2 linked regions of the Rattus norvegicus genome follow. The protein of the gene in region 1 interacts with the protein of each later gene in a biochemical or structural test. Links are inferred from orthologs where the notes say so. Each region holds a gene or a part of one and is shown on either strand. Other genes may lie near its edges.

Evidence for each region. The genes of interacting proteins can lie anywhere in the genome.
Region 2: the proteins of Kit (region 1) and Tec form a complex in vitro, tested with the Homo sapiens proteins (2 studies listed by BioGRID and IntAct, with this or other methods). The link is inferred for Rattus norvegicus from reciprocal best matches to the Homo sapiens genes KIT and TEC.

Annotation. Positions count from the first base shown.
Region 1 is NC_086032.1:32,975,999-32,980,227, forward strand, and holds the start of Kit (mast/stem cell growth factor receptor Kit precursor), read right to left. Parts: upstream 2,815-4,229; 5' UTR 2,771-2,814; coding exon 2,704-2,770; intron 1-2,703. UniProt on the Homo sapiens protein: Tyrosine-protein kinase that acts as a cell-surface receptor for the cytokine KITLG/SCF and plays an essential role in the regulation of cell survival and proliferation, hematopoiesis, stem cell maintenance, gametogenesis, mast cell development, migration and function, and in melanogenesis.
Region 2 is NC_086032.1:35,705,578-35,709,805, forward strand, and holds the start of Tec (tyrosine-protein kinase Tec), read left to right. Parts: upstream 1-1,292; 5' UTR 1,293-1,346; intron 1,347-4,228.

The DNA.
Region 1 (4,229 bases):
CCTGAAGCCATCTTACCCAGATGAGCAGTCCTGGACCCCCAAAACCTCCAACAGGGCTGGACTTATTGTAACCACTCATTAAATACTTTTGTAAGTATCTTACTTTACAACAGACTCTGTATAAGGGATGCACATGGAGCTGAGCTCGGCTTCCTTCGCTGGCTGTTTTGGCCAAGTGACTTATCCTCCAATTGGAAAACAGTAGAGGAGAGGGAATAGACGCTGTTGTGGTCCAACCTCCTGTGCCCCCTGAGTACAGAAATGGCAGGCAAAGCTCTCAGTTCGAGGCCTGGCAGGCATTTGCTGATTGTGAAGCCCCACATATGCACAAAGCACATCCATGATATAATATGGAAAGCACACTAGAAAGCGTGTTGCACAAGCACGGCAGGCATGCCATTTATAACGTCATAGGAAAAAGGAATGTGTGGATGGGTGGGGAAAGCCCGGAATGGGGGAGAAGTTTAACTATTAGGGTCTATCTCTTCACACGGAACTATCAGATTATTTCCAGCAGGATCATAAACCAGAATGCCAGGTGCATGAATGACTAGAGGCTTGCACCTGCAGGAACAGGGGGACGTCTGATTCACTGTTCTAGGGCCATCCTGTTGAGCCATCCTGTTGAGCTGTAAATGCCCTGGAAGGAGGGGTAACTGCAAAGCAGGCACATGTTAGCCCTCCAAAGGCTACAACATAAACAAAAATACAAACTGCTTCCCGCTAAACCTAAGCCGGGAGCAAAACAGTAAAAAAAACACACACACACACACACACACACACACACACACACACCCCAAATGGCCCTTAGACAAGAAAGCAGCTTTCTGAAATTCTGAACTCCCCCTGATCCTTCATGATGCAAATGTTTTCAAGTACCTTCAGGGAAACCCAAGCCCCCCACCCACTCCCAATTTAAATGACCGCCCAAGGGCACACAACCAGGGAGGCAAAGAAGGTTAGAAACTGGGGTAGAGAAGGGAATTACAAACACACTGTGTGCCAGGAATCAGACCTTCAAATTCCCTTTGCCAAAAAGTTACTGGCCAGAGCACACTAACCAGGGGGAAAATGCACACCACTGACCCGTTTCTGTTTTCAAAAGGGAACTGTGATCTTTGTGGTGCTCCACCTTGGTCTAAAGCAGAACAAGGTGGAAAACACAAAGATCACTGGGGTCATTTTCAGCTAACTGGTCAAATACACCTAGGAATCTGAACACTCATTTGTGACCCCCCATGACCCCTCCCCTAGTGCAGAGGTTCCGTTGCAAGGCTTCCCCCACAGGAAAGCCCTCTCCCGGCCTTTCAAAAGCATTGAGGGAATGAGATCAGGAAAACGCAACCGCCAAACGGTAGGCTCAAAACAGGTCACAGAGATGCTGGCCATCTGACGCTTTACTCCAGCGCGCAGATTGTTCTCTAGTGCATCAGGGTAACCTTAAAAGGTTCCTGGGTTTTGTTTTGAAAATGACCTGGGAGAGAGTAAGCTTTCCGGGACTAATCAGGCAACCTGCACAGGCAGTGCACCAGCGACACCTGGCAAAAAGGGGCAGGGCTGAGGAGCTCCAGGAGCCTCAAGATCTGGAGACCCAAGTTACCCTCCAGAGGTAACAAGGTTTTCAGAACAGAAACAAATGCTATTTGCAGGACGCTTACTCTCACCCCTCACCCCCACCACCTAGCCTCCCTAGGCAGCCCTGAGTATGGCTATCACGAGGGAGAGGGTGTCAGGATCTCGGGATCCCCCGCAAAAAAGGCCACCTGCGATTACAAGGCACACACACTAAAACCAGAGGTTTCCAAAGCTGGAGCGGGCTGACTTGGTCCTGCTGCAGCCCGCACGAGGTGGCAAGAACAGCTGCGTCCCCGCACGCAGTCGCTGCTTCCCAGAAGCTGGCAGCCAACGTAGGCTACAGCAGCTCCCTTGGCGCGTGGCAGCAATGAACACCGTGCGGCTGCAGAGAGGGGCGAGTCTCTAGCACGAGATTTACAAAAGGAAAAAGTCTGCAACCTAGCGGCTGCTCGCCACACGCCCGGCTCAAGTTGTCCCCATAGCCGCCACCTACAGGCTCGTGGGGTCCCGCCCCAGAGCCTCACGCCGCGTGCTCCCCGTGCAAAAAAACGGGGGGGAGGGGACAAGCAAGCCCGAGATTCGTCTCCACGGGTGGCGCCGCGCACGACGAGAGCGGCTGCGGTTGAGCCCCCAGCACTGTGCACAAAGAGCGCCCGAGCTGGGGAAGCAGCGGCCCCGAGAAAAGGCTCTCCAAGTTTGCCCAGCGTGCGTCCGGGGACCCGTGGGCTGGTCCTCCCGGGCGCCGGTCACCCACGCGCAACTTTTAACAAAAAGGGAGCCGTGGCAGCACCTCACTAGGAAAGAGGACGCTCTCCCTGCGAAGCCCGAGGCCGCGCTTAGTCGGCACAAAAGCATCACCAAACTCGCCCGCAGCCTGCAGCCGCTGTCCCGGCTCCCAGAAGACCCTCGGCCCCGGGTCTCCATTGCCTGGGCTGCGGTCTCCCAGCTCAGGTGAGCGAGGCGAGCCACCGGAGTCCAGCGTCCGCCCGCCACCTTCGCTGTAGCTGTAACACACAGGCTTGGGAAAAGCCAAAAGCTACCACTCTGGACGCACCCAGGTGGCACCCCTCCCGGACCCGGGCTGCGCCCACAGGGGGTGCAATCCTCCTGCCTGCCGCTCTTTCCCACCTGTCTGGCCACGGAGCAGGACCAACAGGACGCAGAGCAGATCCCAGGCGCCGCGAGCGCCTCTCATCGCGGTGGCTGCGCTAGACTCTGAGCTCCTCTCTCTGCTACAGCTCTCGCCCAAGTGCACGGAGCGCGGCAAAGCCGAGCCCCCAGAGCCACTAGCGGCGCGCGACAGCCCCTCCTCCAGCCCTCCTCCCAGCGCGTGGCCACGCCCCTCCCTTCTCCCGCCCGGGTCGCACTCCCTCCCGCTGCCTGGTGCCCGGGGCTCTCGGACTGGAATATGCTGATTCCAGGGGCGCTGTGCCCTCTAAGACCTGGAGCCCCCATAGGCCCTCCACCCAGAATCCTCTCCCTCCCAGCGCTCTCCCTCCGTCGGTGGTTCTTCAGCCCGAGGCGGCTGGCTGACCACGCAGGTGCTGCCCGCGCTTTGTGAAGCCAGGCGCCACGCGCGCATTAGGCACGGGCCAGCCACCTGGCAGGTGCTCTCTAGACAATAAAGGACAACCACAGGTCCCTCCAACACTCTCAGGAGCGGGGAGAATATACTCGGCTAATGATGGAGGTGTTACTAGTCGGGATTGCGGGGCGAAGGGATTAGGAAACTGGGTCCCCAACATTTCTTTCTGTTCCTGTTAGTAGAGGAGGACAAATCAGGCGGGCGTCCCTGACCTCGGTAAAAGACCGAGCCCACGTTTAAGTAATTTTTCACGCTCAGTTTCTCCACCTGCTGCGAAACCTGTAAGAATACAGCTGATTTCTATTGGCCAGCGTGGACCTCCACCCAACCAAGCTCCTGCTGAGACTTGTGGAAACTGGGCCAGTGGAGTAAGAAGAGGCTCCCGGTGAAGTAGTTAGCTTTGAAATAATGGTTTTTAAAGCCCATTTGCATTTGGGTGCCTTTTCTTTTGTGTTATTATTTTTATCTCACCCTCAATCTCCCCCCCGCCCCTCGCGCCCCTTTCCCCACCTCCCTCCGACTCTGGTCCGCCTTAGGGGCAAGAAAAAAGTAAAATAATTTTCTTTTAAAGTTTTTCTTTAATGTGTATGAGTGTTTTATTTACGTGAATGTGTGTGTGCCACGTGTGTAACTGGTGCCCAGGGAAGTCAGAAGAAGGATGTCAGATCCCCTGAAACTGGAATTACAGATGTTTGTGGATCACCTTGTGGGTTCCTGGAGCTCAATTAGTCTTAATTTTCTTGTTCTTAACTATTGACCTATCTCTCCAACTCCTAAAGTAATAATCTTAAGACAGTTTCTACCTAGGAACATTTTACAGTCACCGTGGCTATCTGTGAGTGGACAATAACAATCTGCTCTGGAAAGGTTCTTATAGTTTTGTATCCCAGTATCCGGGTTTACAGTTAACCTCATGAAGCAGAGAGAATAAACGTTTATTATTGTGGATCTTAAAGCACACCAGGATTGCACACTTAGTAGTTACTGTTTGAGTGTGAGGCCTCATTCCAAGATTTTTTTCTGGTTACCATAAGTTTCCCCTACATATTCTTTATAATTTCTCTTGATT
Region 2 (4,228 bases), about 2.7 Mb from region 1:
TTTCTTTCTTCCTTCCTTTCTTTCTTTCTTTCTTTCTTTCTTTCTTTCTTTCTTTCTTCCATTTTTTTAAAAATATGGGTTCCACCTAATCAATCTGCACTTTCGTAGTGAACATTTTACAAATTAATTTCTCCATCCCAAAGGCTTTTGGGGGACAGAGCTCAGTCTTTTATTTCCAGGGACTATACATGAACAATACAGTCCCATCCTGTGTCTCTCTTCCTCTGAGAGGTCCTCATATCCCTGCCGTGGCTGGCCTAGAACCACTTATGTAGACCAGGCTGACCATAAATGGAGAGATGCCTCAGTGGTTAAGAGCACTGACTGCTCTTCCAGAGGTCCTGAGTTCAATTTCCAGCAACCACATGGTGGCTCACAACCATCTGTAAATGAGATCTGATGCCCTCTTCTGGTGTAACTGAAGACAGTGACAGTGTACTCATACATAAAATAAATAGATCTTTTAAAAAGTGCATAGGAATGGGCTTGACTTTGACTCTCAACTGTTGGAATTAAATATGTGGGTCGCCATGCTTGTCTGAGAGTACAGGATGGGTAATAGTGACTAAAAGTCACAACTACCATCAAAGACAACTTAGACTTGAAGGTAGGGATCAAACCAGGGCCTTGTGCATGTTAAGCAAATATCGTATCACTACAGCCCCAGTCTTTCAAGGCCAGCTTCTCAGGTAGCTAGCTAGCTAGATGACAATAGGTGCGTTCTTTCCCTGTGTCTAAGAACTTCACGGGATTTAAAGTCAGTAACTTCAAGATTGTTTTCATTACTAGTGTATCAACACTAATAATATAAGTGACCCTACGCTAGGCTCTGATGCTTCAGGCCTGTCAGTCAAATGACCCGTTCTTTTATCACCGCAAGGCACATCATCATCCGGTTTGCCCGCGGGGGGCGGGGGTGGGGGCCAAGCGGAAGTGGAGGTCGGTTCCCTGTTCCCACAGGGCTCTCAGCCACCCACAGGTGTCACTGCTACCGGCTCTCCGAGCCGGAGACGAAAGAGCATTTCTCTGGACGGTTCTCTTAGGATGGGAAGTCCGGACTTAGAGAGACCCCACGCCGCGTCTGTGTGGATAACAGGCGCTCTCTGGAACTTCGGCGGCAGGACGGCGAGCTCGGGCACCAGTCTTTGACTTTGAAATCGCGGAAGGAAGGTGGGAACTGGCGGCTGTGGGCAGCGGAGGGCAGGGGCGGTGCGGTGAGGGGGCGGGGCCAGGGAGGAGCTAGGCAGTGGGCGTGACGATGGGCTTGGTCAGCGCTTGCCAAACTCCAGGCTCCGCAGTTTGGCCCGCGCTGTCTCCTGTCCTGTGTCAGCACGCGCTCGGTCAAGGTAAGAACCCAGGGACTCTCGGCCAGGAGGATCAGAGGGGTGCGCGCTCACGGAGGTGGCCTCCACCTGCCGGAGATTGATCTTAGTGGGATTAGGCAGGATTTTTCTACCCTTCACATGGAGGTGGGAGCGTCAGGTCAGAGGCCCGTCCCCCTTGGGCCAGGAAGAGGGGACAGGTGCGCTCCCCTGATGGCCGCGCCTTCCCTGGTGGCTGCAGATCTGAGCCCTTTTGGACTTGGGATCTAAGCCGAGAGCACTTTCGCCTGAGTTCCCTTCCCAGTCGAGCGGCAGGGAGGCCTTTCTCCTCTCTGCCTGTGCCGCGGTAAAATTAGAATCCAGGAAGATGGTCCACAGTTGCTTGTGCGCCGAGCAGGTGCACTTATTTCTTTAGTTATTTTTCCCTTCTGGAAAGTGGTATCTGGATCTTGATAAACAGGGGTTTGAAGAATCAATGTGGGAAAAACTAAGTGGACCTTGTCCCAAGAAGGTGCAATTTTCCCTGGATTATACATTTCTTAACTTTTTTCCTGTCGTTGGCGAATGACTGATATGTTTCTGTGTACCAGGTCCCACCTCGGGTTGATCTTTGGAAACTGGACTATTTGATTTAGAAGAGTTGATCTCAGTGTTAGATTGGGACGACAGGGTGGCTGGCTTAGTTAAGTGGGTTTGAAGCCTGTCCAGAATAGTATGCTTTAAGCAGATGCCTTACATTTTTCCAGTGAGTGGCCATTTTCCTCTTAGGAAACTCTGACAACCTATTCCCGTCTAGATTATTCTCTTTTACAGAGTCGGGGAGTGTTAGGAGGAAGCATCAACTTATCAGCAAGTCTCCTAAGTAAGACCCGGGGTTTAATAGTTGAGTGAACAACACTGGTAGCTCTGTGGTCTGCAAGACTCAAAATAAGGAACTGCTTGATATTTACTGGGGGGTGGGGGGGTTGGGGGTTGGGGAGCTGTGGCTTACACGTTTGTTCAGTTATATTTTCATTGTTTAAGAAAGGCTTATCTTTTCGCCGTACACTTATTAATCTGGTCACTATTCCTATCCTTGTCATCGCTGGGTGCTTTCTGTAGAGTGCCTATGTTAATCACCCTCATTCTTCCCACAAGGGTGTGTGCCTTTGGCTTTGTGGAACTGTGTGGGACAATTATTGTAAACACACACAAATCAATGCTGAGCTCTAGCTGGCAATACCTTTGCCCTACATGGATCTGTGGCCTAGAATTTTTCTCTTTTTCTTTCTTTCTTTCTTTTTTTTTAAAGAAGAGCTTTTAAAGATTTATTTATTTATTTTGTATTTGAGTACACTGTAGCTGTCCTCAGACACACCAGAAGAGGGCATCAGATCTCATTATAGATGGTTGTGAACCACCATGTGGTTGCTGGGATTTGAACTCAGGACCTCTGGAAGAGCAGTCAGTGAACTTAACCACTGAGCCATCTCTCCAGCCCTCTTTTTTTTTTTTAAAGGATTGTTTATTATACTTTATGTATGAGTACACTGTAGCTGCGTTCAGACACACCAGAAGAGAGCATCAGATCCCATTACAGAGGGTTGTGAGCCACCATGTGGTTGCTGGGAATTGAACTCAGGACCTCTGGAAGAGCCGTTTCTCCATTCCCTTTCCTCTCTTCCTAAACAGTAAAGCATCTAGGGTATGAATGCATGGTTTAGCATTGCCAGGGTTTCCTTGCTTTCCTTACATCAAGGTGGTCTTGTTTACAAAGCAGGGCAGAGGCTACATTTTATCAAACCTGTGACGCTCAGTGGATGGTAACGTCCCTCCCAACAGCTGATCCGGAAAGGAGGATGGAGAGACTGGATAATTACTGGCCCATTTGTATTCTTGAAGAATGCCTGGCCTCCTTGCCTTCCCCCAGGCACCCAGGGCCTCTAACCACACCTCTGCCTACAGGTTCTCCAGGCTGGCCTGGTTGGTGCCTCTCTTCCTAGCCCTGCACCCGTTCTACTAGATTTTGGCATTTGCTTCACCCCTCCCCGGGTCTCCACTCCCATCTGAGGAAGATGACTTGTTGTCTACAGATCATTAAGGGCATTGATAACTCCGCTTGCTCATGGCTCCTCTGCCGATTCCCAGTGTCTGTGGACATTGTCCCTGCTCAGAGCCCTTACGAAGCTCTCACCTTGTCCAGTGAACAGCGGGTGATGCAGAGTCTTTGAAGTTGAATTCATAGCGAGAGTTTTGGGAGGCAGCCATTTTGTTCGGATTAAGGTCCTAAGTGGGGCGTCCAAGTCCGTAAGAAGGGAATGAAGTTAACTTCCGATCACGGGCAGCGGGAAAATGATCTTACTCCGTGTAATTATGCTACTAGAAGAGATTTGTTGGTAAAAAACAGACACCTAGAGAAGAGGGTGTAGAAGTTTTCTGTACCTCCACACCAGTCTCCTCCTAGGCCTGCCTTTTAATCCATGCCTGGGTCAGCCAGTCCTTCCTTGGGTCGGATTATAACTATTAATTTCTTCTGCACATTAGACCGCTCGGAGCTCAGGTGACCCAAGCTACCATGAAACAGAGGTTGAAAATTACATTTCCAGTTTAAAGGGGGAAAAAAAAAAAGGAAGGAAGGAATTAAAACAGCAACAACAGCAGCAGCAACCAAAACCCCACAAACAGGGTGCTACTGGGGAAACAGAAGGAGCAAACAATTGTAAACATATGCAGGCACAGAATTTTGAGCTCAGAAATGGCTAGATCAAGATAAGCCACAATATTTATGGCAAGGTCAATATTCACAGCTAAGCTAAGCACAATTTTGTGTTCCTGGAATTAATAATTGTTTGACACGCCTCTCTCTCTCTCTGTGTATATATATATATATATATACTTCTCATTAATTTAATCTGTGACTCTTGAGC